Linked DNA regions of Struthio camelus. The protein of the gene in region 2 interacts with the protein of the main gene of each other region in a biochemical or structural test. Links are inferred from orthologs where the notes say so. Each region holds a gene or a part of one and is shown on either strand. Other genes may lie near its edges.

The links.
Region 1: the proteins of PARP1 (region 2) and RNF4 form a complex in vitro, tested with the Homo sapiens proteins (2 studies listed by BioGRID and IntAct, with this or other methods). The link is inferred for Struthio camelus from reciprocal best matches to the Homo sapiens genes PARP1 and RNF4.
Region 3: of the proteins of PARP1 (region 2) and PIAS4, one has a biochemical effect on the other in vitro, tested with the Homo sapiens proteins (3 studies listed by BioGRID and IntAct, with this or other methods). The link is inferred for Struthio camelus from reciprocal best matches to the Homo sapiens genes PARP1 and PIAS4.
Region 4: of the proteins of PARP1 (region 2) and UBE2I, one has a biochemical effect on the other in vitro, tested with the Homo sapiens proteins (4 studies listed by BioGRID, with this or other methods). The link is inferred for Struthio camelus from reciprocal best matches to the Homo sapiens genes PARP1 and UBE2I.

The regions. Positions count from the first base shown.
Region 1 is NC_090945.1:77,249,525-77,256,947, forward strand, and holds the start of RNF4 (E3 ubiquitin-protein ligase RNF4), read right to left. Parts: upstream 3,015-7,423; 5' UTR 2,930-3,014; intron 2,918-2,929; exon of another isoform or gene 2,823-2,917; intron 2,747-2,822; exon of another isoform or gene 2,737-2,746; intron 1-2,736. Other genes in the region: CFAP99 (cilia- and flagella-associated protein 99), read right to left, coding at 6,345-6,512. UniProt on the Homo sapiens protein: E3 ubiquitin-protein ligase which binds polysumoylated chains covalently attached to proteins and mediates 'Lys-6'-, 'Lys-11'-, 'Lys-48'- and 'Lys-63'-linked polyubiquitination of those substrates and their subsequent targeting to the proteasome for degradation.
Region 2 is NC_090944.1:125,658,184-125,665,501, reverse strand, and holds the start of PARP1 (poly [ADP-ribose] polymerase 1), read right to left. Parts: upstream 3,022-7,318; 5' UTR 2,827-3,021; coding exon 2,707-2,826; intron 462-2,706; coding exon 299-461; intron 1-298. UniProt on the Homo sapiens protein: Poly-ADP-ribosyltransferase that mediates poly-ADP-ribosylation of proteins and plays a key role in DNA repair.
Region 3 is NC_090967.1:4,285,448-4,292,584, reverse strand, and holds the start of PIAS4 (E3 SUMO-protein ligase PIAS4), read right to left. Parts: upstream 3,001-7,137; 5' UTR 2,848-3,000; coding exon 2,821-2,847; intron 1-2,820.
Region 4 is NC_090956.1:243,433-250,441, forward strand, and holds the start of UBE2I (SUMO-conjugating enzyme UBC9), read right to left. Parts: upstream 3,019-7,009; 5' UTR 2,858-3,018; exon of another isoform or gene 2,484-2,857; intron 1-2,483. UniProt on the Homo sapiens protein: Accepts the ubiquitin-like proteins SUMO1, SUMO2, SUMO3, SUMO4 and SUMO1P1/SUMO5 from the UBLE1A-UBLE1B E1 complex and catalyzes their covalent attachment to other proteins with the help of an E3 ligase such as RANBP2, CBX4 and ZNF451.

The DNA.
Region 1 (7,423 bases), on a different chromosome or scaffold from region 2:
GATAGCATGCGTGAGACACTAACACTCCTGTGCTCTTCCACGGGCTAAAGGCTCACATCTTAACCTCTTTGTCAGCTTCTTCCAAAAGAGAAAGTGTTAAGAATGGATATCTATAGAAAAGCCCAAAATTGTAAAAGGACTTTAAAAATCATCTTCGGCTTGCATTAATACCGATGAACCTGCCAAATCAGAAGAATTATACTCAAAGAAAACCAAACTGCTAGAATTTATTAAAGTTATGGAAGGAATCTTATGATCCGGCAACTTCTTTTCTCGTAAGAACAAACAAACCTCTTCTGTGGGGCTACATATTTCCAAATACGCTCTTAGCTTACTAGGGAAATTCCACTGCAAAGATCACTTCTCTGAATTGCAAGAATGGATAGGAAAAATAAAGCAAAACTTGCCTTCTTTAAAACACTGCAGATCAAATTAGCAGTGTTTAAGAACAGAGATAAACAAAGCAGTTTCAAATTTCTCACATTTAGAGATCTACCTATCAAAAAAATTCCTCGAGGGTTCTCAAAACCCCAGGACCACCCAATTTAACAGTATTTTGTATACAGTCCTGAATAGTCCAAGTTCAGTAATAACGTCTATATGGTCCTCCTCCAGCAGTCACTATGAAACTCAGCATCAAGATTCTCAGAATCAGATACCAGGAACGGAGTTATTGCACCTCCTACCCCCCAAAAGCATCAAATAACTCCAGCTGAAGCTGTTAGTAGCTCATCTATTATACTTGTAGCAAGATGCATTCAGATACCAATCCAGAAATTCTAAGATTAAGATTTTTAAATTTAAAATAAAAAACAATGATTTTTAAATGCAAAACCTTAACAGATCAACTTGATAAGCCACTAAATATTACTAACTTTTATAGGATTTTTATTGTATCACTGGGGGATGATATATAACCAGGAGAAGCCACTCCCCTTCCTCTCATACAGAGCTCTCCACAGACAGTTATTGTTCCTATCACTTAACCCTCCCAAGGGCCTAATGACTGTTATGTCCTTATAACAGCAAAGTTCAAGGTTTATTCTAGCTAACCTACCGGGATTTTAAGTGCTATATCCACCATTCTCTCTCTCAACAGGTAACTACTTGAGAAAAGTACAGGTAAACTCACCTAAATTAAGAATGTCTCCATTAGCAGTGAAAGAATATTGATTCCCCTATGCCTGATTTAAGTCGTTAATCCCTCCCCCCAAGCTAATATTTTCACCAAATTCAATTTGAATTTACCATGTTAGAATTTAGCTTTTAACTCACTAAAAATACATTTAAAACTTTTCCTACACCACTCTGAAAACAAAGTCTTGGGCTCCCACAGGCTCACTATGGTTTGAAGCAAATCAGCCCAAACAAGAAGTAGGCATTTTTACCGTGTCTGACTAATATAGACCAAACTTGACCTCATGAACATCCTAAGCATTAGAAATATTCTAAAGAAAACATTTGAATAAAGCAACAGTTTCAGAGTAAACGTTTGGTCTGTACAAGGCAAAGGTGTCAAAAACAAAATACACCACGTTAGCCAAGAAAATACAACATGCTATGCCTTTAAGACTTTGCTTCTCATTTGCACTTTTAAGATGTCTCACTGCACTTTTAATACAGGAAAGACAGTATCAAAGGGCTAAGCATCTAGAAGCGTTTTTTTGTGATCAGAAGAAGCACATGCCTATGGCAAAGCGTTAGCATTGTTGTCATATGGCAGGAAAAATAATCTGCCATTTTACTCTTCCAAAAGTTCCATATCACGTGCATCTTCTCTACCATTAGAGATGAGGAAAAAAAAAAAAAAGGTTCTTCACCAACTTTAGTAAAAACAGAAACAGAGTGTATTATGTTTTATCCAAATTAGGTCAAGCAGTCCCATACTACAAAACCTCACTGACAGGCACTATAAAAAGACTAGAGATGAGAGAGGCACAACCTACTACTTACGACCCGCTCTAAGCGGCCAGCTACATCTACAGACAAATAGGACACACGCTTACGGGCGGCCTAACAAAAACAAACGAAAACCACCCACAGCACAGAACACAGCCGAAGCCTCCAGCTGGCCAGATGCTCTATGTCAGGAACGCTGCAAACGGCCAGGGCCGGCCAGAAGCGCTCCTCGCTCCTCTTACGCGCGGCTGTTTATCCCAGAGAGCGGACATGGCTCACAGCCCAAAGCCCCGGAGGAGGGCAGAGAAAGGGGAACGGAGCAGAGCCCGGCGTGGAGACGTAGGGGTAGAGGGAACAAGACCTCGAGGAGAAACATCACCTCCGCTTCTGCGGTAACCCAACGGGGGGGTGGCCTAACCCCCCCCCCCCGCACCCTACCTGCTCCCCTGAGCCGCCCCCCCCTCCAACTCGCCGGTCGCTCCGGGACACCGGCCAGGCCCCAGGCCCGTCCCCGAGCCGGGCTCGCCCCCCGGCTGTCACCAGCGGCAGCGGGCGGCCGCCACGGCCCGTCCCCGGGGCCGCAGCCCCTCAGAGTGACGGAGCGAAGCTGGGGGGTGTGTGTGTGGGGGGGGGAACCCCCAAACCCAACGAGATACCGGGGGGAGAAGGGGAGGGCGACAGGGACGCCACGAGCGGAGGGACGACAGGCCGCGGGGAGCGCGGGGGCGGCAGGCGGCGGCGCCGGGCCCAGGCCGCCTCCCTCCCCCCACCAACCCCGGCCCCGTAGGCGCTGGCGCGGCCCCGCACGGGGGAAGCGGCCCCTGCTGCCCCCGCTGCCCTCGGCGCCGGCCCGGCCCGCTCCTCCCCCACGGCGGCCGGGAGCGGGCCCGGTGCCCCCCACCCCCACCGCCTCCATCCCTCACCTGCGGCCCCCTCAGCGCGGCGGGGAAGGCCCGGGGGCGCCGTTGCCGCTGCCCGGCCGCGGCTCCCACCCCCCCCACAGCGGAGCCCCCCGGCCTGCAACACTCACCCTCGGCGCCCGGCCCGGCAACTGCGTAGGGCAGCGCCCGCCTCCTGCCCTCCTACCATTGGCGAAACCGTAAGCTGCAGCTCTCGGACTGGGTGTGGGGCACGTCAGTCAAGGAAGCCCTGGCGGCGGGCGGCCCCGCCCCCTCATCCGGCCCCGGGGTGTTCTGGGAGTTGTAGTTTCGGGGGCGGCGCGGCCCCTCGCGGTGGGGCTGCCCGGGCCCGCGGCCCCCGAGGGTCTCCAGGGCTTCTGCCCAGGCGCGGCGGCTGCTCCTCGGAAACCTTCCCCAGCCGCTGGGGTCTGTGCGGCTCTGAAGGGAAGGGGCCGAGGCAGGTGTTTGTCCGTCTGCCGGGACGTTCAGGGCAGGTCGTGCCGTGTTGGGCGGGTGTAGCAAGGCAGTACGAGTCGGGGGTTTGGGTGTTTTTCCCCCCACAAAATGGCAGTCACCCAGCTGTGCTTCTGAACGGACCGACAGAAGCGCATCAGAAGCATGAACTTGGGAGCGAGCCACCTGTTGCCTTAGATGCGCTTAGTGCGCACCTCACTCTGCGTTAACTCGTTATAAACGCTTATGATGGTATCTCTGTGCCTCTGCCTCCCTATCGAAAGTTATTTTTCCAAGCACGAGGACCGCTTGGCCTTTCGTCGATTTAAATAGCCCCCTGCCTGGCTGCGTGTTGGCGGCGTTGTGCGTTGGCACTTCTTGCCCTCTCCTCGCCGCCGGCTGAACGCTCCTCGACGAGGTGTTTGCAATTCCGGCGCAGCAGCCCGTACGCGTCTTTGGTTTCATTTAAATAACTACACCATCTCTCCCTGTGCTGTCTGCGACCGATCCGATTACCCAGCCGGACGGGCGCTGAAGCTGGACCCCAGGCCGCCAGCAGGCTGCCGGCTGGATTGGCGTACGGAGCCGAGTCCCAGGTGGCAGTGACGGCGTTACCTGCTGCTGGAGCTTGCACAGCATGCTAACATCCCGTGGTCTTCCTCAGTAAACCTGGGCCTAGTTATACTGCAGCTCCACGTGAAAGGACGTAGTATCTGGTCGTTCACACTGTATTAAGATGCCTCACGTTCATCTGCGTGACTCTGGAAAGTGCAGCTCCTGACATTAGAGGGGTTTCTTTCTGATTCTGTTACTAACACAGGTGAAACCTCTGATACCCAGGTGAAACCTCTGATTTTGTAAATGTGTTTTGGTAGCTTATTTAAGACTCAGCCTTCTTCACTTGCCCTCATCATCTTGGAGACAAATGCAGTAACAAATCCATAAATGAGTGACTCATAGGGATCGTTCATGTAGCTGTGTTTCTGCAAAGTGTGATGAGCGTACGTGCGCTGCCAGCTCTCACTTACCTGTGTGTGGATTAACTAGGTTGTGGATTATCTGTGCCACAGACTAGCTGAGGCAGCACAGAGTGAATGCAGCTGCATTGCTTCAAAGCTAAGTTGGCTCCAACAGCAGTACAGCTACTTTTGTAACAGAAAGCTAACAAGTCGTGTGGGACCTTTACCGGCTGTGTGTTGGATCACCTTAGGTTTCCGTGCACCATGTCATGAGGAATGTAGTATCTTTGATTTTATTCTGTGTATTCTGTTGCAAGACCTCCCATCGCTGTAAAATCAATAACCTATATAAAAAAAGTAATAAATTGATATTTTTCCCAAAAGATTCATTCTTTTACATTCCTTGAAACATTGCTTATAAAATGACTTCACGCATTAGGTCCTAAAGTAGCAAGAATGAGGCTATTTCTGAATTCCACAGCTGAACTACTAAGATTGCTCTATTTCTCAGTCCTTTCATTTTGAGAGCTGGGGAGAACATGGAGAAGGAAATAGTTACGACTCAGCTTGATTGCAGTTCATTCCGAATTTTGAAGACTGGGTCCAACACCCCAGAGGAAGAAGCATGCAGTATGATAAATTTTTGAAATTTGAAAACCTTTCGTAGATATGCCTGTCTATTTGCCTAAAGATTAATCTTTCTTTTCTTAATTCTCAAAATGCATGGTATAACAAAAAGTTTCAGAGGTACTAGTCAGCTGTGAAAAATCCCAGACCGTGACTGTTAGTCCTATTATTTGCTAGCTTCTGGAAAACCGAGGCATTCAAGTCCAGACTTCGCTCTGTCATTGTGGAATACAACACAACGTGGTGCTGGACAAACACAAAGGAAAATAAACTCTGTGGAACCAAATGCTTGTCATTTTAAGCTATTCCAACCCTCTACTAGACACAGAGTCATAGTTCCGACTTCTCCGCAGTTCTACATCTATCACTCCTTCTTCCCACTCTCCTAGGATCCTTAACTCTTCCTACTGAGCTACTGCATGAATCTCATTGCTTTCCTGAACTGCTGTAGCATTCAGAATGAACAAAAAATACAGCACATTTTGTCAGCATTGCAGATTGTGGAAGCAATCTTCACAGCTAGATGGCAACAAAAGAATTCCATTAGATTTCCTTCAGCAAAAAGTGAGAAATACAATGTTGTGAGAGCATTAAAAGCAGCTGCCTGACTCTAATGTCAGCGACAGTCTCATTCAATTTAAATATTTGCAATAGCCATAATTAAACACTTAGTAACTGGCACAAATTTAAAATAGAAATACATTACATAGTCTTACTGCTGTGCAGATTTTAATCCAGATTTATATCCTCCTTGGCTTTATGCCTAGAATAAATCTTGTGATTTGAAGGCCTTTTTACACAGTATAGAAATTGTCACAGAGGGCAAATTATCTTCTAGGTGAGTAACAGATTTTTGCCTTTTTCTGGAAGCAGTTCCTTAGAGAGATCAAAGAATGTTATGTTCTCCTTCCACCATTCAAAGACAAAAAAGATTCACCTCTGCAAATATAGGAACAGTATGTCTAGGTCAGTTAGTCTACTCTCTGGCTGCTGTATGCCATCAGTTCTCCCCTCACCCTCTAAAACCAGCATTGAAACTGGTGGTCCTGCTATGCACTGCTACTGCCAGGTAAGATGATGTATTGGGAACTTGGGCTGACCGTGCCTTCTGAAAAAATACATATGTAAACAAACATTGTACTTTTTTTTCTCCTAATTTTTATTCTTTAGGAAGATGAATGTAGCAAATCATGGTATAATATATAATGATAATAGAAATACAGACAGCATTCTTATCCAGATATTTGTCATTCTGCCACAGGAGCCTCAGTTGCAAGGGCTCAGTTTCTTACAGCTTTTGATTCTAACTGGAAAAATAGGTCATTACTGATTAAAAATAAAAATTCCATGACAAAAAAATAACAAATTTTGACTCAAATGTGCCTGTATGACCAGAGTTGTGCTATTCAAACTGTAAAGATGAAATAAAGGTTAAAATTCAACCTTGTAGTATATGGGCACACTGGGAGAAGTTTTCCAGCAAGTCTGATTTTTTTCCAAATGAATTTTATTTTACTTCAGATCGCAGTATACAAACTGTGGCTCCATTTTTTGCTGCCTCATATGCAGCCATTTTCTGAGCTGTTTCTCTGGCCATGAAGCCATGCTGAAGGATCTTGAACTGTCTTTCCCGACTCTCTTCCAGTTCTTTCCAGTGGTTCTGTTGCAAAGAACTCTGCAGAAAAAAAACAGGGATTATCACATCGCAGAGAATATAACGGTTCTATTTAGATGATGCACTGAACTTTTGTATGATAATCTGGCTGGCTGGTGACACATTCTACTTGCTAACACAACTGGGAAGCATGTCAACTTCAAATTAGGCATGATGAATATAAACATAACTTGATTGGGTTGCCCAGTTTAAGATGAATTAAACACAACTGCAACACCTCACAAAATGTTAGGTCAAGGCAAAACTACATCAGGACTGTCACGCCCCAGTGCCCCACCTTATGTTCTCCCATCGCCAATAGATTGTTCTTGAAGTTATAAATGAACAGTTGCTCAGATCCTCTCTATCAGACGCTACTGGTTTGCGGATTCAAAAACTAGGTTCACAAAGCAGGACTGCCAAGAAAGCTCAGAATAAACAAAACAGTTACTTTTTCATCTGATTCTTGGCTTAAAATGGTAGAACAATGTGTTTTCCATTAATGATAGTTTTCTTACAGTTAGTCTTCCAAGCTGTAATATAAATTCTATTTTATTAAAAACTGAATAGTGATTTATGAACAAACTTTATCTTCGCTTGTATCAGCACAAAGTCATTCGGCCTAAAGGGCTATCACAAATGTAACTGAAGCCACAGTCTGGATTTGGAACTTTAATACAAGGAATAGGCCTCATTTTCTTCAATTTATTGAGTACTCTTAAAAGGTAGCAGTATAAACTGAATGCTAGATAAGTACTGCATAAAGGGAAGAATTCTTTTTTATAATCACACTACCACTATTTTCAGCAATATGCAGTTCAGCTAGAATAAAGATGCTGTTGGACATAGCTGGCCAGAATTAAGCCACTTCTCTGTAGTAATATCTGGATACGGTCAGGCAGAGCCAAACAGAAGCTACACCAAAACAGCTA
Region 2 (7,318 bases):
GCATTTGTTAACGTTAAGGAACTGAAACCAAAATACACCAGGCATGAAAACAAGAATATCTGTCAATGCATCTGCCAACTGCCTTGTTTTTCCCTTGCTGGTTTCAGAGGCTAGACCATATTGCCAGCTTCCTAGTCTGCGGTGCGCCGTCACCATGGCAATTCTGCCCACCTCACTTCCTGAAGGGACAGGGTAATCACCTAACTGTAATCTGTCAATAGCTTGACAACAGAAAGCACGCTTCCTGTTGAACCTCTGAACACCTGCTTGGCCTCATCACAACACCACCTCTGCTTACCTCCTCCAGGTCCTCCAGTTTCAATGGCTTTCTTGATTTTCTCCTGATCTTCCCATCGGAGCTCAGGGAAGCCATCGATGTCCGTATGGGACACAATTCGAGCCCGCTTCCAGAAGCAGCTGTAGTGATGCCAGTGAGGGACTTTGCCATCAAACATGGGCGACTAGGAAGAAAGTAAAATTAGGCCAAGATGAAGCCAGTCAGACAGCATCATGGGGAGGGTGAGGGGGGGGGAAGGGAGATAAAAATTGAAATATCTGGGTAAACACAAGTAATTTTTTTTTTCCAATTAAAAAGATATCTGCAATTTAGGACAAAGCCTAGGAAGAAAATCCAACGTGACAGACGAGGTGCCTGGGGAGAGGACTCAAAGGGGATACATGCAGAAAGAGAGTCTACCCAGCTTAAGCAGTTTGTCACCCTATTGTTTAGCCCTTCCACATTACTCGAAAAAAAAAAAGGTTGTAGCCTCAGCAGGGCTATACCAACCCTGAGCAGACAAGGAGAGGTTTCTTCTCAATGAGAATCAGGCCATCGGCAGGGATGAGCAATCGAAACAAAGACAGTGGATAAGCCAAGCGCTGTTTTCCGGGGGATTTATCCACTACAGCCTCCTGCCTAGGGAGCTGCAGGAGGCAGAGGCAAAACTTCAGAGCAACATTACAGTCCAAAGAAGTTCTGCATCAGGACAGAACCACAACCTAACTCCTTCCCCAAAGAGCAAATCCAGAGCACCCTGCCTTGTACCAGCCTCGCCGGGGAAGCGCGCTGCTCGGTCATGACTCAGACACATCAAGTACCAACCCGACATCGTTCCGGTTACCAATCAGACAAAATAACGGCTTAGCGGTTTGGCTCCGAGGGATGTACACAAACAATGGCTGTATTAATAACACACAGTGCTGTACTATTATTTTTATTACTAAAGATACAGAATTAATGAACTAGGAAAGCCTTCTGCGTACCACTTACGGACAGGAGAACCAAACGCAACAGCAAAGCTTTGCCCACGAGCAGGACGGAGGAGGAAAGGGCTTCTGAGGATCACAGCATGGCACTAGGAGAGCCAGGAGCCCTGGATGACCACCTAACCTCCCGCCAAAACCGTGAAAGGGCATTCACGTTTCCAGCTGCCGGGCTCCTCCCGTGAGCAGGGATTTGGACGGCACAGTAACCTCAGGGCACAGCAGCCCCGTGGGAGTTGCTCTCGGTGTGCTGGGCAGCCTCACGCACCCCCCGTGACACCACAGCTTGGCCATCCCTTAGCTGCAGAAAAGGCACCCAGCATTTTTGTGGTAGACCCCTCGTGGCACCAGAGTCAAGCCACAGCCTTTTCCCCCCATGAAGGCTTTGGGGGGGGGAGGGGGGGGGTAAGGCACAGGGGTGCACAGGAGGGGGTAGAGCTTACAGACCCTTGGGGACAACCTCGCGAGCGGTGGGGAGCCCTCCCCTACCGCCGAGCGCCTGGAGCACAACTGCACTCCGCCTGGGAAACAAAACCTCCAGGCGAGCCCGACCTTGTTTACTCAGCTTCTCCCAGCGCACCTATCTCCAGACCACAGTTTCCTAAACAAGCTTCGGGGAAAAAAGGGGAGCCAGGAGTGCTTTCTCGTCACACGTGCAGATAACACAAATTGCTAAGTGCCAGCTGGAAGCAGAAGCTGGACAAGAGCTGAGGCTGCGGCACCGGGTGCCAGCAACCCCGCCAAGCGCCGGGCCCCCCGGCGTGGCTCAGGGCTCCCTGGGGGGGAAAGCCCCCAAAGGCGAGGACGGCTGCAGCAGGAGGGGGCCGCGGCGGGAGCTGCCGCCTGCCTCGGGTTTCTTCCGCGGCAGCAGGAGCGCAAGGCGCTGACGGAGGGGCCGAGAGGGGCTTCCCGGGGGGCGGGAAGAGGGGCAGCACGGTCCGAGGAGCGCTGCTGGCCCAGAGCAGGCAGAGGGAGCCGCGGCAGAAGGGACCACATGAAACCAGCAGTTTTGGGTTTTTTTTTTTTTTGGGGGGGGGGGGGACAACGACTTGCAAGCAGGCGGTTAGGACGGGTGGTTTCGGGTGGGGAGGGGGGTGGGCGCCACGGCTGCTGACGCTGCTCTTTCCCCTTTTCTCCCTGTTTTTCTTCCTCCGGCCCGCCGCGCACGCCCCCGGCGCTGGGGGGGGGGGGGGAAGCTGGGCGCGCCGCCGCCTGCCCCCAAAAGGGGGGCGGGGAAAGGGTGGGGGGTTTTTGGTTTATTTTTTGTGTGTTTATTTTTATCTCCTTCCGCAGGCGCGGTGCGCAGCGCGGGCAGCCCCCGCGAGCCGCGCAAGTCGCCGCACTCATCCTCCCTCCCTCCCTCCCTCCCTCCCCCCGATAAATCCGGGGCGGAGAGAGGCTCAGCCGCCGCCGCCCCGCGGCCCCGGCCCCGCCACGCGGTACCTGCACCATGAGGGCGAGGCGCAGCGAGTCCTTGGCGATGCTCTCGCCGCACTTCTTGCAGGAGGCGCGGCCGCTCTTGGCGTACTCCGCCCGGTACAGCTTCTCCGCCGGCTCCGCCATCGCCCCCGCCGACACGACCCGCGCCCGTCCGCCCGTCCCTCCGTCCGTCCGCCCGTCCCTCCGCCCGCCGGGTGCGCTAGCCGAGCGCCGAGCGCCCCTCCCCGCCTCCGCCGCCTAGTCGGATCCACCGCTCGGGCGTCGACTCGGCGCGCCTGGTGGCGCCTCGAACGTTCCGCTTTGCTACATTGTATCAATGGGGGCGGGGCGGGGGGGCGGCGGGTCACGTGGCGGCGGCGGGGAAGGGGGAGGGGGCGAGTGGGAGTGGGCGGGTGCGTGTGGGGGGGGTGTGTGTGACTGTGCATGGGGGTGTGCATGTGGGGGGGGTGTGTGCATGTGTAGGGGGTGTGCATGTGGGGGGGTGTGCGTGTGTGTGTGACAGTGCATGGGGGTGCGTGTGGGGGTGTGCGTGCATGTGGGACTGTGCATGGGGGTGCGTGCGTGTGGGGGAGGTGTGTGCATGTGTGGGGGTGTGCGTGCGTGGGGAGTGTGTGTGTGGCGGGGTGCATGTGTGTGCGGAGTGTGCATGAGTGAGTGTGCGTAGGGGTGTGCACGCGTGTGGGGGGGTTGCCTGCATGCAGGGAGTGTGCACGCGTGAGTGTTGCGCGTGTTGTTTGCGCGTGCGAGCGTGTGCATGTGTGGGGGGGGTGCGCCTGTGTCTGTGTGAGCGGGCATGTGTCGTGTGTGCGAGTTGGGTGTGCTGTGTGCGCGTGTGTAGGGGGCGTGCATGTGCGAGCGTGTTGTGTGTGCATGCGTGTGTGTGGGGGGGTGTGCACGTGTCAGCGTGTGTGCGAGTGTGTGGTGTGCTTGCCTGTGTGTGTGGGGGGGGGTGCGGGTGAGCCCCCCGCCCGGGAGCGCTTTTGGGGCTGCACCCATGGGACCGGGGGCGGTGGGGGGGCCCGGGCTGCCCCTGCGCTGGCCTGGGGAGCGGTGGTGCCTGAGCGGCCGAGGACGAGCTGCACCTCGCGGCTGCACCTCGCGGCGGGCCAACAGGATTTAGCTGCTTCTGTGACCTCTCCTCTGGAAAGAGCCCCCCCCCCCCCAACCGGGCTTGCCCCAAACTTGGGGCAACGCGCTGGTTGCCCCCCTGGCAGTTCATGCTCTAGGCGACGAGGCGGGAAACGCCTCGAGGCTGAACCCATGGGTCCGGCCGATGGTCCTGTGCCTGGAGGATGAGTCACCACGACGCTTCACGGGGGGGGGGTGGGGGACGGGAGCACCCCGGGGGGACAGGAGCACCCCGGGGGGACGGGAGCACCTGGGGGGATGGGAGCACCCCGGGGGTACAGGAGCACCTGGGGGGGACGGGAGCACCTGGGGGGACGGGAGCACCCCAGGGGTACAGGAGCACCTGGGGGGGACGGGAGCACCCGGGGGGGGACGGGAGCACCCCGGGGGGACAGGGGCACCCAGGGGGACAGGAGCACCCAGAGGGACAGGAGCACCTGGGGGGAACGGGAGCACCCCGGGGGTACAGGAGCACCTGGGGGGGGACAGGAGCACCCAGAGGGACAGGAGCACCCCGGGGGGACAGGAGCACCCCGGGTGCTGCAGCCCAGCACAGGGCGCCGGTGGGACTCACCGGGGGGGCCGAGCGCGAGGAGGGAGAGGCAGAGCACCGGCCGAGGGGCTGCCGAACCGTCTGGTGGCCCTCTGCCGTTCTCCTCGTGAGCCCTCCGGTTGCGCCCGGACGCCCGGCGGAGCTGGTGCCTCTCACCGGCGGCCGCGCGGTCCTGCAAGAGACGTCCCGGCCGGGGACCGCCTGCTTTCCTCCCTGGTAACCGAAGGCAGGACGATAAGCGATAGACTTGTAGCTGGTGAGTCGAACTCAAACATGGTGCACGGTCCTTCCTCGAAGAAGACACGATATCATAACGCGTTAGGGTTTAAGGTCGAAACAAAACCGCCTGGCGCGGTCCCTACGGTTCGCAGAAGATGCTGATGAGGTGGCTTCGAGGCCTCCGCGTAAAAGCAAAAGTCCCCCTCAGGTATGCGCCCCCCAGCCCCCAGTGACGACCCCGACAGTGGCAGACCCTGGCCCGGGCTGGCCTGTCCGTAACCCTCACCCGCCCCTCGCCGCCGCCCCGCCATCCCGAATAACCAAGGTGAGGAGGTGTCCGCCGGCCGCTCTGCAGACAGCGAATCTGAGAAGAGGGGGGTCACAGCGAGGACTCGCGCCCCCCGTTAAACCCTCCTGTCGCCGGGACGGGCCGTCCCCCCCGCGCAGGCGAGAGGAGCGGCGCGCGGCCCCCGCTCTGCCCCTCCGGCAGGCTGGCGGCCCCCTGGCAGCAGCAGCACCAGGGCTGACGGGTTGAACGGCAGCGCTGCGGTGCCGGGCCCTGACCACGTGCCGGTCGCGGCGGGCGGCTCTGCGCCCCTCGGGGACAGGGCAGAGCGGGCAAGGCCTAGCCGAGGGCGGCGAGGACGTGCGGCGGCGCGGCGGGCGCCCGTACGGGGCTCGGCAGCCCGAGGAGGAGGCAGCGGGACTCGCCGGCGGCGAGGAGAGGGCCGGCAGAGCGGTCGCTGGCTGCTGCAAGCGCCGCGAGCTCCCCGGCGGTCGCAGGTGGCGGGTTGAGACGAGCGACGCGTACGCGTGGGGCGCGCTACCGTGGGACGTGGTGGAGGCTAACGTCTGGCGCGGGCTGGGGAAGGCGGCATTAGGCATACCCGCAGCAGCAAGGACCTCCGCTGAAGGACAGCGCCTGTGGCTCAGGAAGATCTTGAGTTACCAATCTTGGCATCCTGAGAAAATCTCCCAAGGGGGTATCGCTCCGTATCTGCTTCAACTCTTCTCTAGGCGCCTGCTGGCGGCCACCGGTGGAAAGAGGCTGCTGAGCCGGATGGGTTATTGCTCCGACCTGACAGGACCGTTGCGTCCTTGCGACCGGGCTGCGCGGGCCGGCAATCATGGAGGGGCTGATCCCCACCCGCCTCGCCTTGTGCAGGGAGCTTTCTGGCCATGCGGGCAGCTCTGGAGGTTGTCAATTGGCCGCGTGGCCGCTTCCCTCCCCCCGGCTGCAAAAACCCCTTCCTTCTGGTGAAAGAGCCGCTCCGTCCAGATCGGACCCTGCCGTGAAAAGGGGCTTCATAGGTGGTGGGAGAGCTTGTGTTTAGCAGGTATCCGGGAGCCAAATACTGGCCAGGTGATTTCAGTCCCAGACAGGAGCTTGCCCAGGTCCCTGGGGATAACGGTACAGATCCTGAAGAAGGCTCCAAAGGGCGCTTTGGTTTAGCTAAGCGTTGCCTTTCCATCTCTTCTGGCAACATCCCGGGAGGCAATATCCTCTCATGTCGGCAGAGGGCATTGGTACTGTATCTCCAGCGGACAGAGGGAGAGGAGAGCGCTGAAGTTATTGCAAACCCGCGACAAGTATTTTTCATGAGTTTTACAGCGATTCTTGAATGCGGGTTCAAGGAAAGCAGTATGTTTAGTCCCACGTGGGCTTCAGACAGCTCACAGGTGTGAGTCGCAGCCGGACCTCCGCAAGCCTGTACGGTCAGATTTTAATGTGCCCTCCTCATTGCGTACGCTCCCTCTCCAAGGATTTCGTACGCTTGCTGTGAACATAGGCAGCGTTTGCCTTCCCAGTCAGCCCTCCGCCAAGGCACGGGCTCGCGCCGTGCTGGGCATGGCAGTTGTGGTACAGATGTGCGCTGAGCACACACGCTGCCCCGCTTCCAGGGAAGGAGGAAAACCAAAATCTCTGTAATACAGTAGATGGTGCTGCACGCACACAGTCAGGCTCACACGCTTACCACACTAGAAGCTTAAACATTTCAAATTACTTTTTGCAGAGGTTCTTGAACCACATGCAAACGTTCAACATTCGGCAAACGTACTGCTGCCCAGCTCTGTCAGGCTTTTCCGAGAGAAATGCCCATTACCCACAAAGGAGGGTTCACCGGCAAGAGCCATCCCAAGACAAGCCCTCGGGCCATTCAGCTCTTGCAGGGGCCGCCTGCCCGGAGCAGATGTAGGAACAGGCAAGCGAGCGGTGCAAACGCCCCCAGATATTCCCCAGCCTCCCGAGAGCTGCGGCCCAGGGATTTCCTGAGCTGGAGCTGGAGTTCCCGCATACCATCGTCCAGAGGGGAATTTTTCTTCCATGAATTTGTCCAGTTCCCCTCAAAATACCCTTCAGTTTATACGGTATTTATTTACGGGGTTCCAGCAAAAGAGAAATAACTACCTGGTGGTGTTGCCTGCTGCAGCGGCCGTTTTCACTTCTTGGGAAAGACAGCAGTGTCTGACAGCCAAAGCGCTGTTCCGCAACCTGCGCTCTAGAGGCCAGCGGGGGTCCATAACATATCATAAAATGGTCTGGAAAAACAGCCCCAGCCATTTGCAGGCACGCAAGCATGAAAACATGCAATGGAAACGACTGTAACAAATGTCTGTTCAAAGTTTAGCCTGATTTTTATTTGGTCGTGAATGAAAGCCACTAAATTAATGCTATAAGAAAAGGGGTTTATTGCTTTTTTTGTTGTTGTGTTT
Region 3 (7,137 bases), on a different chromosome or scaffold from region 2:
ATCCAGAACTCTCCCTACATATGCAGGGCCTTTTAAAAAAGGCATCAGATATTTTAGGCTATGGAGTGATATTAAAAGACTATTAAAGAGGGAGAAGGATGTTCCCATGAGAACAATGCCTCCAAGATTCCATTTGGAGGCTTTGCCAAGCATTCTCCCATGATTACAGCCAGTAGCTGCTTTTGCTCTTGCTCTAGTACTATTGATTTCAATGTTTTGATAAGCAGTAAAACTATCTGTCTTCACAAATTCACTCCTCTTGCTGCTGTGGAAACTCAAAAGGCCTATAATTTGTCAGTAGATTCAAAGACCATACTATATTAGAAGGCGATTTTCCACCAAACTAAGAACTAGAAATTATTTCAATTGGGACTAATGCTAGAGTCTGGTCAGATTGACGATTGAGTTCTCTCACATGGCAAGCGGCTTTATGAATGTGCAAGGCAAGCTTATAAAGGACATTAAAAAAAAAATGCAAGTTGCACGAGAATGTACTTGATAGGCACCCACGATTATTCCTTCAGCGTCCTTCCTTGTTTGTGGAAAACGTCAGAATTCCAGAAGAAAGCTCAACTGCTCCATAGTAAAGAGCAAAAGCAGGGATGAGAGATCAATAAGTCTCTTTTCCCCAACCTACCCTCCACTCTTGTTTGCTGATTACACTTAAGAAAAAATGCATAAAGTCAGTTTTCTGTGGAAGTTAAAATAGTAGTCTTACAATTTCCTAGAGGGAGGAAAAAAAAGATGATGATGACATGGATGAATTAATTTTTTAAAGCTACTGTTTAGTCCAGAAACATTTCACAGCCACATCTGCCTGTGCGGGAATTAGGCTGTAAAAAGAATATCATTTTATTTTCTCCTTTCTCATGAAATCTGTCATTTAATCTGGAAACCCAAGAGATGTTAAAGAACTTCACACAAATGTCATTGGCTGCAGTTTAGATTTTTTGGTAGCTGAGATGTGTCCCAGAATACCTTTGATGTGAGAAAAAGGCAAGTAACTTTAAAGAGGAGAGAAAGGATGTTTAACTGCTAGAACACGAGGATTCAGGAGATGTGGATTCACTTCACTGCTTCGCTAGATACCACCTGCGTGATCCTGGACAAGTTCAGTTCCTCTGTCGTTATTTGCTCTATCTACAAAATGGAGAGCGTACTGGACTCTCAGAACTACTTCAAGGATAAACAGCATATTTGCAAAGATAATTACAGCAAGGCTGTGAAGCACTTCAGTCGTGCAGTAACGGGGAAGTCACATTGAGCACAGCAGATACTCCTACGCTGCTGGTCACTTGGGACCTTAGGTACGTACAGTGGAGTTTGACCCAATAGTTTTCCACAGTTTACATTTAGAAAGGTTTAAGACCTAGAAGGATGATCAGATTTGAACAGTAACAACAGAACAAGTTAGTTTCACACAAAGAAAAATGCATCATCGAGGCTTAGATCTGGATGACAGTACGAGCGGTACTTAGATCACATTAACTACTGAGGTTATTTTAACACTAAATTTTAAGTCAGCTCCTTTCCCCAAGGAAGCCTTGCATCTGAGTGGCAAACTGTGTCACTCAAACATCTGCTAAGGAGGCAAGCGATGAAGTCTTGGAAACATACCTCCTCCAGAAGCGTCCTGGGCTCAGCTCAATTGAGAGGGGCCAAATACTAGGGAGAGGAGAGACCACAGGGACTCCTAAAATAGACTCTCCACATCTTATTTTTTGCAACCATCTAGCCACATCCTTACTTATTAGCTAATCCTGCAGGTGCTATTAACAATTTCTGTGCGTTGAAGTCACGCAGTAAACACCCTTAGCGCCAGCTTCGCCATGGCACCGTTGCGTGCAGTCTGCTCAAGCGCAGCGAGTCGCTCCCCTGCGCTGCCGCGCGCTGACAGAGCAAAACAGAGAAGTCCCAGAATCAGGGAGAGAAGAGTAAATTGGGACTCCGAGAAGGGAAAACAATAATAATAAAGCAGAGAGCGGGTCCTATTCTGCTGAACCTCCTTTCCGCAGGAGGCCTGCTGCGGCGCACAGGACACTTTGGAAGTACGGTACAACTTCAGGTACGCTTGCTTTAAAAACGCTTCATTTGGAAGCGCCTGGGACATACCCGGGAAGCTCCATGCCGCGCAGAATCAAGGGGGGAAGCTTCCCCCCCCCCCCGGATACCTTCCGCTCCTTCCCCACTTCCACGCTCTGCCCTCCGCGGAATCCCCCTCCCCCGCCGTCGGCCGGAGCCGGCACAAAACCGGCCCCGGCGGCTGGACAGCTCCGCGCCCCGCGGCCCCGCTCCGCGCCCGGCGGGCACGAGGCGCCTGGGGGCCCCGCGCGGGCGCCCGGCGGGGCGGGGGAAGGGGGGGGTGGGAAGGAGCCCCGCGGAGGCGGCCGGGAGAAGCCACCTGCCTTAATTAATTACTCGTAATTAATAAGGGGAGCAGCGCGGCCCACGCCGCGGGGAGGGAGGAAGGGGGGGGGGGGTGGACCCAGGGGCAGGCTCGGACCCGCCGGGCTGCGAGAGGCGCCGGGCAGGCCCCGGTTGTGGGGGGCGGGGGCTGGGCCCGGTGAGGGGGCCGCGGCCGAGCCCGGGAAGCCGGGGCGGGGCCGGTGGCTCCTGAGGTAAAGTGTGTGTGGGGGGGCCGGTCCCGGGGGTGCCGCCCCCCCGGCTCTCGCCGTCGCACCGCGCCGCCCTCCCCGCCGCCGCCGCCCCCCTCGCCGGGAACCGCCGCCCCGCGCGGCCCGGCCCTGAGGCCGCAGTCGGCGGCGGGGCGGAAGACGGGGGAAGGAAAGGGGGGGGGGGAGGAAGGTGCCGCTCACTCACTTTCGCCTCCACCAGCTCCGCCGCCATCTTGGCCTCCAGCGTCCACCGCGCCGGGAGCCGCCGCCGAGTCACGTGACGCCCGCGGACGGACGGGGGGCGGGGAGGGGCCGCGGGTGGCGCGCGCCGCCCAATCCGCGCGCGCGCGCGCGCCCTTCTCCCCGCGGGCCGCGGCGCCGCGGCGCAGGCGCACTGGCCACGCCCCGCCCGGCCACGCCTTCCCGGCTGCCTTAAAGGGGCAGCGCCCCGGGAAGCCGGGAGGCGGCAGCGTTACCGGAGGAGGGGGCGGCGGTGGGGGGTGGAGCAGCGATGGCGGCTCCCGGGGTCGCCGCCCTTCAGGAGGGGAGCCGGTGGGGAGGGGTGTGCCCACGGTGGGGGGGGGGGCAGGGAGCGATGCGCAGCACCCCCAAAATGGCCGTGGGGCAGGCAGGCCGCACCAGGCCCCAACCGGGGTACAGGCCCCAACCGGGGTACAGGCCCCGGGGCCAGCGGGAGCGCCCTTGGCGGCCTGTCCTGTGGCCTTGACCCCTGCCCGAACCTCCACGCGCTCCTTCGAGGCCCGGGCTCGTTCGTGGGCACGGCGGTGGCCTGAACCGGAGGCGCCTGCCCGCGTCCGGCTGCGGTCACCCCAGGGAAGGGGCAGGTTTTTTGTTTGCCCCCACTTCTGAAAATGGCCTAAAATACGGGGACGTTGGGTCTGGTCACCTGTAGTTTGCCTGGAAGGTGTTTTCTGGGGAGCAGGCAGCTGAAACAGGCATTTCTAAGGTTAAAAACCCTCTGGAGGGGAAAAAAAAACCCAAAGGAACCTGACAGCTTGTAGATCCCTCCTCGTCAGAGGAAAACAAAGGGCACAAATCTAATTCTCCCTCGGCAGCAGCCTCCACTTGCTTATCTCAGGCTTTGCTGTTCAGTCGCAGGCCTCAGAGCTGCCAGACGCTTGCGCATACACCAATAACGAGCACTCCGCTTATTCCAGGGGCCGTTAACCCCCTGCCTCTGCTCTGAGGGACCAAGGCCTCCAGAAACTCCTGTGATGCTGTCACCCGACACGGCGCCCTCCCGAGCACGCGGCGTTGCGTCGCTGAGACACCCGGCGCTGCAGCTGGGAACCGACCGCCCCGTGGTGACGGCGCCCCAGAAACCCCCAGGTCAGTGTCTCTCTCCATATTTCTAGGTGCCCAGGGAGGAGCTGATCCTCCAAGAACCCGTCCCTGCTAAAAACGCCTTATGTGTAGATAGAAATGAGTTCTCCCCAGCTGAAACCTGCCTGCAAGTCACTCTTTTCCCGCTGGGATCTGGGTGCTCCGTTTCTAAGCGTGAGGCCAGGAACGAGCGCCCAGCACAGTCCCTTTCACGTGGGCCGAGCAACTACATCCAGGCAACTTCAGGCTGAATTACCAGGAGACAACAGAGAGCCCCTGGGCACCTGCGCGCCTGCGGGCTGTGATGGCCCATCACGCCCGGATGTACACGAGAGGGGACGGTCCCCGAAGACCCCGTGCCGTTGGAGGAGACGGAGGCTTTCCAGCACTTTCCCCTTCTTGTCATCAGTCCCCCAGGCCAATTAAACAAAAAGGCAATGGGCTAGTTTCCCAGGCAGGCCAACATGTTAATCAGGCTCCCCAGCCTCCCCTTCCAGTCTGGCAAAAGCCAGCATTGGTGCTAAAAAATTCAAACGGTTGCTGTGGCAACCCCAACAGCTGATAACTCATCCTGTCACAAGGGGAGCGCGGGGCTCACAGCCTCCCGGGGCCAAGGTGATTCCTGGCGTAGCTCCACCGGCAACTCCCTGGGCACCGCAGATAGTGGAGGGGACCGGTGGGCTGGGGATGTGCTGGGAATTTGGCAGCGACCTGAGCTGCCTGGCGAGGTGGCTTGGGGACAAAGTGGCTTGGATTTATTAGAGGTTTTTTTTTTTTTTTAATATGTTGCAGCTGATGGAAGTAAAGCAACAGTCTTCTATGATGCTGAAGAGAAGGACGTAAAAAAAGATGCAAAATATTTATGGTATGGAGATGGAGAGTTGCATCCTGCTGTGCTGTGCTGTGGAGTCTCTCTTTACTTGCCCTCGCTCTCAGTCTCCTTTTAATTTGATCTTAGCTCAGGTAATTCTCTTCACCGCGTAGCGCTTCAGTTTTCCCATTTGCTAAAACAAAGTGAAGGGATTTTGGCCTTTGTTCCTGCACTGGAGATGAGGGAGTCCTCCTAAAACTGCAGACTGGGTCTTCTCTCACCCTGTGTAGTCGTTCCATGTCTTTCCATCGAATTATCCCTGCTTCATCTCTGCCGGAGCATGAGGAATCATTTGTGTCAGTCTGAGACCGTCTGCAGGATGGCTGCTCGTTACTGTTGCTCTAAAAGGTAGAATGTGAACACCCAGTGATTTTGCAGGGCACTTTGAGAGACAAAGAACATACACCCATGGCTGAACCAGCATGTCAGGCCCTTCTTAGAGACCTCCTGGCGTAGGAGCGAAGTTTGGAAGAGAGCTGTGGGTTCGTGAAGCTTTACCAGGGACAGCCGATGGCGAAGATCTTGCGCGTGTCAGCTACCAAAGGAAGAGCAAGGCAGCTGGATGGGTGCTTTTGGCTCACCAGAGGACTGGCTATGGCCCCTGGGGTCCCAGCTGGAGTCGAGCAGCTCTGCAGATCCTTCCTCCAGCTACACCCCTCCCTCCGCATCCCGCTCAAGCCAGGCGTGGCTTGGGAGCGCGGCAAGGAGGTGCGTGGCCTTTCCAGGGCTCCTACAGCCCGTACCCCTCGTCCTGCCCAGCGCAGGCGCTGGGGGCCCGTGCCATCGCCAGCCGTGCCAGCCCCCGGGGCGGCTGGGGACGCGGGCCAGGCCCTCCGGCCGGCGGCAGCGGGGCGAGAGCCCCGGCCTCGCGCGCGCCTCGCCGGCACCCTTGCTGTCGTGGTGCAGTGGCGGGAGCCGCCCCGGGGACACGGCTGGGGACATCGGCGGGCGTTGTGGGGCACGTTTCGGGGATGCAGCGCCCCCCGGGGTGGGGGGGGGGGAACCGGGCACGCTCGGCCCCGCAGCGCTCCCTCCCCGCCCGCAGGGGGCGCTGCGGCGCTGCCCCCTCCCCTCCGCCGGCCGGGCTGGCGCATGCGCAGCGCGGGGGCCCTGCGGAGGGCGGCGGGGGGGGGGGCAGGAGCGGAGCGAGCGACCGCAGAAATGGCATTTGGGGACGGGGACGGCGGGGGCTGCCGGGGGCCAGGCAGGGCCTGCAGCGAGGGCAGGGGATTGCAGCAGAGCTCTGCAGCGAGGGCAGGGGACTGCAGTGAGAGCAGAGGCCCTGCAGTGACATTGCAGTGCAGGCAGCAGCCTTGCAGCGATGGCCGGGCTTAGCTGCAGCCCGCCAGGCGCCGCAGCCTTCCCTGCATGGCTCTGCCCTTGCTGCCTCCCTGCGAGGGGGCGGCTGCAGTCCGCCCAGGGGAGCCTCCCCCCCCCCCGAAAGCCTCGCGCAGGCGGTTCCCCCTGCTCTGTCCTCGCTGCGCGCCCGGCTGCCAGGTCTTCGCGTGAGGGCATAAAGCATGTGCTGCAGCGGGGGTTTGTTCGCACTTTGTTCTCGATAGGTCTCGCTCTGCAGAGCACGGGAACCCGAGGTGAGGCACTGTCGCCCTGATCCTGGAGGCCACGACAGGATTTCGCACCCCGGGCAGGAAGCCGCGTGCCACGAGTCCCTGCAGGTGCAGGGGCCACCGATGCAGGACTCGGATCACAGCGCTGATGAATCGGCCCCAAATGCTCTGCAATTTACAGCTGAGCTCACCAACCGCTCCTTAATGCTCGGGATGCAAATCAGCGCAGCCCCTGGAAAATCAGGGAAAAAGAGAGGAAAACTTAAGTTTTCCATAGAAAAAAAAGAAAACGTCACCTGCATTTTTAATGCCAGCAAGGAATTGCCCACAGATTTTAAAAGCAGAACATTCACCTGCTTTAATTGTTCGTTTTCTTTAATTTGTTGTTACCTCTTTTATTTCTCTGCCCTGTACAGACCAAGGTACATGCTTCGCTCTGCCGTAACATGTTCTCGGGGTAAGAGCGAACCAAGAAAGGCTTCCCCCAGGGTTCGGTTGCTCTCTAATGAAATCAGTGGCAGGGTTCCTGCTGGCAGGAGAGGAGCCCTCACTGACTTTGTAGCGGCTCCTCGAGCGCGTGGCATGACTGGGGACGACGTGAAGGCGGTGACAGCAGCCCCGGCAGCGCACAGCTTTCTCTCGTGGCGTGTTTAACGGCTGGCGAAGCCCCTGGGAGCGAGCACCATGCCGGGGGCCCTGGGGCCAGTGGTGGCAGGCACCAGTGGCCCCACAGCAGGGG
Region 4 (7,009 bases), on a different chromosome or scaffold from region 2:
GTCAAACCTGAACTGCTGATTAAGTTTTACTGAATACAACTGGGAAAAAGTTCAACCACAGCTGGACTTGACCTCTGATATTTGTGCCTACCTCTAGCCTCTCTTCTGCAAGACTGTTGTTACAATGTCTTAGAAGGGTCCAGGGACGCTGAAGTAACTAAAATTGGTATCTTCAGGCAGTGAGTGCTACACACTTATTACTATGCAAGTAAACACCACATTAAGTTCTCCCTTCTCTTTTCATATTTTAAAGTAAATCAAGAACTGTCTTGGGAGAGTAATTTTCCTGTACTCCTGGGGACTCACTTTGAGTTTTGTGGCTCCTGCATGACTCTAAGATCGTAAGGAGCATCCAGCATAAAAGGATGTGGAAAAGGAGAATTGTCAGTTCCGGAGCTTGTCACTTTCTTTTTCAGAGCATCTAAATATCTTACATATTTACATGGCATGGGTCAGCGCCTGGTGAACCTCTTCATGAGGCTCAGAGGCTTCAGTACCCTTGCAAGAACAGACAAGTATCCAAAAAAAAACAAAAAACAAAAAACCCCACCACTCATCTCTTGTCACAAACAAAGTAGATGTGCAACTGAGACTGAAAGCTCAGTTTAGAATGAAGATCCCATTAGAATCTGCTCAAAAGGGAATCAATCTATTAACAAATTTCTAACATACACTGTCTAGCAGCTCTTCAGTAGAGGAATCGAGACATCTTGATCAAACTGCTGCTCCGCAGGAGCTTGAGATACGCTAAGCACAGATTGGTCATCTAAATATATATTTTGGTCTCAAAAGTAACTAAGTAGCAGGAAAGAGTGAGATATTATAGTAGGTAAACTAGATCTTCAGAAATAAAACTGAAGAACTCATATCCTCACTGCTATGTTTATCTTCCTCCACAATTTATGCATTTTTAATTTGCAGTAGTAGTTTCCCAGTAGCATTTTGTCCAAATGCCTAAGTTTAACGTTTAGCTCTTGCAATTTCTAGCAAATGCAAGATGTTACTATTAACTTGAAATAGTTAAAACCTGAAAAAACAGCTCTTATTAAAACCAAAAACCAAATGAAACCAAAAAAAACCCACTAACACATCTGATTTATTTCCTCCACTTGAGAAATTTATTGCTATGGAACAGAACTGAGGTCAGAACACATTAAAGGGATGCATCACTGGAAAGAACACATTCTTCTGCCCTGGAAAAATATATAAACCTTATCTTGCAGGGGCCATGCAAGCACAAGAGGTCCATCTCCACGTTCCATTTGGTTTTGCACTCCACTCCACTCTACTCCCCTCCTTCTTTCCCCCTCCCCCCCCACCGCATTAAAAGGCAGAAATGCCTCTTTTATTGCTATCAAAACATTAGGAAACGAACAGAAGCTTCAAAACTTATTTTGTAGTTTGCCTCTGCTGCTGCTGCTACTACTACCCACTTTCGGGGAAAAAATAAAAACAAGAACCACACACACCAAAATAAAACCAAAACATTTATCGTAGGAGTGAACCGGCTGTGTTCCATTACAGATCATAGCTACTTATATCCTCCAATAGGGGAGATAATAAAATAAAAATCTATTTCCAAACGTAAAAAGCAAGTCTCACAAAGAACAGTTCTGCTGCGGGAAAGCAACATCTACTACACACAGAGTTCTGACCTGTGGCAAGTCCCTAAATACATGAACAGCATGCTCTTTAAACGTCAAGAACTTGAACTAGTTCCTACTCATTTCAAACAACCCTAAAATAAACTTAAGACTCCTGGCCTCACATTCCCGCTCTGTGGGTTGAATACTAGCACAAGAATAAGTTATAAACTGGAGTAGCTTGCCCAAGAACTTGAAGACCTTTACTTTTCAGAAGAGCAGAGAAAGCCCACGGTTGTGATTTAATCAAAACAGACCAGCGCCGCACTGGGAGAGAAAACCGCCTCCTGCGGCAGGGGAAAGGGCAAAAGGGGTTACTATCCCGACACACACGGCCACCAGAGCCGCAAGCAGAACAGCCGAAGGAGCGGCGCGGCGAGAGCCCTCGGTCCGGACCGCCGCAGCAACGCCGCCCGCCACCCGGCCCCGGGCGAGCCGAGCGGTGCCTGCGCTGGCCGCGGGCCGCCCGCCTGCAGGGCCCGGCGGAGGGGCCGGGGCGGCGCCGAGGCCTGCGCGGGGCAGCTCGGCGCCCGCCGGGACCCAGGCGAGCGCTCGCCGGGGCGGGGGCCGCCTCGCGCAGGCCCGGTGCCGCCCAGCCCTCCTCGCCGCGCTCGGCCCGCGGCGGCCGCGGCCTCCGGCGGCGGCCGCGGGGCGGCGGGCAGCGCTGCGCTGCGCTGGCGGGCCCGACCGCACGGTCTCCGCAGAAGCCGCCCGGCCCCCGCGCCCCGCGGCCGCCCGGCCCGTCGTGCCGCGGGCGGGGCGCGCCAGGCCGGGCCCCGCTGCCCCGGAGCCGCGGCCGCCAGCGCGCCGCCCCAGGCCCCTCGCCCGGCCAGGCCTCACCGTGAGCGGCCGCAGCACCCGCGCGTGTCCCGGATTGAGGCGGCAGCGAGTGACCCGGATGTTCCCCACTCGGCTCCCCCCCTTTGTCTCTGGCCCGGAGTTTCCCTCCCTCTTTCCTCGGTGCAGAGCGCGGCACGATGGCGTGTCCCTCAGGCCGACCCGTCCGTGCCGCTGCGCCGGCGCGGTATGACCCTGAATCCGACCCGTCCGCCACGCTTTACGCATCCTCGTGACACAGGACCCGAGGCGCCCGGAACAATGCCTGAGTAGGGAGCGCAAGGGGAAATCCCGGGGGGAGGGTCTCTGAAGCCTTCTTCGCTTCCTCTTGCCTCTCGCCTCCTATAGCCCCGTCAAGAAACGGAGTGAATTTTTACCTCGGGCGCTGGGAGAGTCACCTGCACCCTAATTTGGCCTGGTCCCTCGCAGGGCGCTAAAGCCGGTGCCGCAGGCCGCGCCTGCCCCGGGACGCTCTCGAGGCCGACAGGACCCAACCCGCTGTGAGCAGCCGGGCCTCTGATTGGTGGTAGGAGGCCCCGCCCCTAGAGGGCCTTTCACAGGTGATTGGCTGGCTGGAGCGGCTCGTCAGAGGGGGCGGGGCCTCTGCCCGGACGCCGGCGGGGCCGGCAGCTCCGAGCCTGGCGGTTGCCGCCCCGCGTCCCGCCTGTAGCTCGAGCTCGAGCTCGGCCCGAGCCTGGTTTTTGTCTGATGCTTAAGAGGTAGATAGATGCTTTATGTACCGTGGTCGTTTCCTTTTTTTTCCTTGGTTTATAAGAACGCATTTTTAGTGGCATGTAGGCCATGAATCACATTCTGCTCCTCTGTTCGTTTTTTTTTTAATTTTACTGAAATTTAAATGATGTTTCAGTCCTCTAGCTAAAGCCTCACTGTGGTCTCTCTGTGTTAGTGGTTCTTGCATTACCTCCTATATAGCGCTTAAATTTAAAATTGTATCTCATCTTGGGAGTGCTAAAATTAACTTTAAAAAAAAAAAACCCACCTATATTTGACTTTGTCCTAATCCAAAACATGTGCTTTGTTAGAAATCTCATTGCCCGACATCCCAGCTAGTGAGTAGGCAGCGGCAAAGAGCAAGCAGTTCATCTTAGATGCATTAAAATGCCAGTTGGAGGACTTCTGTTTCTCTGTAGCCCTTGACATCTGGGATTTGGTTGCAACTGGCACTTAAAGCTGGCAGGATGAATCTAGACCTCGTTTGAAATTTTTGTTTGTGCTTTGCTCTGCTTGGCTTTTAAAATTCCAACTTAAAATTTTGTTAGATTTTTTACGCTCCTTGAATCACTGTAAACATGATAAACAATATGAAGACATAAGTTGTTTTTGAGAAAATGAAAGGGTATTGCCCAGAGAAAGGGAATAACCTACTATTCATGCCTGTAATGGAGGGGACAAGATGTCAACAGTATAAACTGCAGCAAGAAAAATGAAGGTGAGGCATTAAGAAAATATTTAATGGCAAAGATGCTAAAGCATTTGATTGCCTAATGGGTATGGGAGGGGTGTGGAGACTTCATCAAAGGAGGCTTTAAAAGTAGGTTAGACAACATGTGCTGCAAGTTCCTGCCCTTGGTCAAGGGCATGAGCTGAGTGGTATGTCTCAGCCCCCTTCTAGGCTTTTTGTTTTTATGTGTCTTTAATTAATTCATTGTCTCATTTAATCTTGTCAGTTTTGATTCCTACAGAAAGGATGGAGAGGACAAGTATTCTTTCTGGTTTTCACCTCTCTAGGCTGGTCTCGAGAACTGTTGAGCTATCAGGACAGTAGTTTTTGCCTGATGTAGTAACATCTTTGCGTTAAATCTCAAAAGTTAACTAGGCAATATTTTAAAGAGATGGCATTCCCAGCATAGATGCAAAACAAGGAAGAACTGTTTCCAGAGCTTCCACAGACATATTTGCAACAACTATATGTCATTAAAGAAACCTCTCATTCTGGAATGGGTCTGAGTTTGTGCTTGGAATCCCATGTCTCCCAGGTGTAGGGAAAGAGTTGAAATCAACTTTTCAGCCTTTGGATTCACCTCCGCTGGCCGCATACACCTTTCCGTAAAGGACTGACCTTAGGTTGGAACATCTCCCTGTTGCAGCAAGGAATGCTGAACGAGATCATGAGGCAGAACAGGAATAGTGGCACATCACAGAACTGTTTAAGAATGCAAAATAATGATTTCACCTTCATATAAACAGCCCAGATCCTTGAATCACTTGCCCTGTTCTCATCATGTCCTTATTTAGCTTATCTCCGTAACGGAGTTACTTAACAGTAACTATGTTCTCTTTGAATGAACAGTCCCTATTCACATTTGTGATTCAGCCAGTTATGTATCACAAGGATGCAAAATAAGGATACTTACCTTTCTGTGGGTCCTTGCTCTTGCATAGTTCTCTTCCTGATGCATGGATACCTGTGGCAGCATCTGCCTTAATTGCTTTATTCCTTTCAACTAGTAAATGCTGGAGTAGAGAGGGAAGCCAATTAGCAGATGCATGTACAGAAAATACATCGTGAACAGTCACAAATGACTTGGGGAATGAGGGGGAGTCTCAGAGTTCTTCAGGAAAACACCAGATGCAGATTGCTTCACTAAACAGTTACTGAATGCCATCTCAATGGCATGTCACTTGGTGAAAACATACCTGGGATGTCTGGTGGCTTCTTTGCAGAAGTTTGGAATTGAGATATTTAGCAAGGCTCTGTAAGAACATAGTAGTGGCTATGCCTAATCAGACTACAGGTCACTCTAGCTCAGGAATCACTACTAGCTTCACTACTAGCTTTTGCTAGTAGTGAATACCCACAGTAGGAACAGGACAAACATGTACTCCCCTGTATACCTTTCTGGTATCCAATCATTTGCAGTATAGAGTCTTCTAAGCTGAAGTATTATCTTTGCATTTAAGATGAAACTTTGGTAGCATGGTCCTTAAGGTACCAGGCAGATTCACTGTATTGTAGTACATAGATTTGCCAGGGTTTTTCATGTTGCCTGAATTTGCATCCTCCCACATTCAGCACTGAAGATTGTCACCGTTGATCTGAATGGATGTGGTGGAGGAAATGACATTTCTGTGCAGAGGATTGGAAGGACATTACCAGAAGCAATGCTCTTAGAGAAAACTATTAACACCATGCTTATAGCATTTATCTTATGTAATTGCATGGATTGCAGCCTCAGAGAATATCACATAAATACGGGACTATCTGTTTATAACTGCCAGGCAAGACTTCAGCACGCTGGAGGGTAAATTTGCAGGGTCATTTTCATCTTCCTGATATGAAACTTCCTACCAAAAGGAGAATAAATTCCAAATATTATAAAAGATCCGAGTGGAACATTAATGACTTACTTGGAAGTGTAGGATGATCTCTTTTGGGTGCCCTTTATTAACTGGTTTCTGGTTTGGGATACAGTTATCCCTTTTAAGTTCTCACTTTTGCCAATTTGTGAAGACACTCGAAGCTACAAATACGGAGAATAGGAATTTGGATTGGAAGTAGTGCTACTTGACTGTAAAGTGCAAATACTTTTAGGAAGAAAGCCTGACAAAATATGGAAATATGTGCTGAGTAGTTAATTTCTACTAGACTAATGTCTTTACTTGTGACATTCTGGTAAAATTGGAATGTTATTAAAATGCAAGAAATCAGTTCAGTAAAATGATACCAAAGTCCTGGATATATAAGGAAAAATTAATCCATTATTTGCATTTAAAACTGATTAAAACTGTTAGCATGAAATTAACCTCATACTTAACTGTACAGACTGTAAGCTTTTAGAACTCACAAGTCTTAGCCGCTCATACACAGTTCTTATTAGCAGTTTGGAAAATAAGAGCAATCCAGTTGATTTCTCAGTACTAACACTGAATTATTATCTTTTCTATACTTGTGAACAGCTGTCTGAGCTGTTTCAGGTACTTAACCATTTACTTCTTTCAGCAATTTATATCTTCAAAACTTTTGCAGCAAATGTACTGAGTGGCTTCATATTTACATCTCCTGTATTATACTGTATGTCAGCCTTATTATAAAGTGTTGATTTCAGTTAGCTTAATTTTTCAAACAAAAACCATTTACGTTAAAAATCGAGGTATTCTAAAAGAAATGACATTTTTAGGCAGGCTCACTTGTGAGCTGTATGAAAGAAAATATGCAAAATATTTAGTTAAACCTTGGTATATGGCTCTTTTGTGATTACATATCCATGCTGGAGGGAAGAATTTCCTACTGTAATGGGCAGCAACAGTAAACACGAAGGAAAATACCTTAATTGAAAATACCTTAATTTCCCAGTGAATAAGTATCTGAATAAATGTGTGTGTGTGTGTTTTTTTTTTTTAATAACTAAGGCCAATGCCTTAAGAAAGGCATTGGGGCTTAAGAAAAGGATGCATCTCCTTTACAAAGGAAAAGGTATTACTGCTTTGAATCACTGCACAAAAGTGAACTACAAACTGCATTTTATATCTGAAGTGCTAAACAGGGAATATCAGCAGTGTTGCACTGT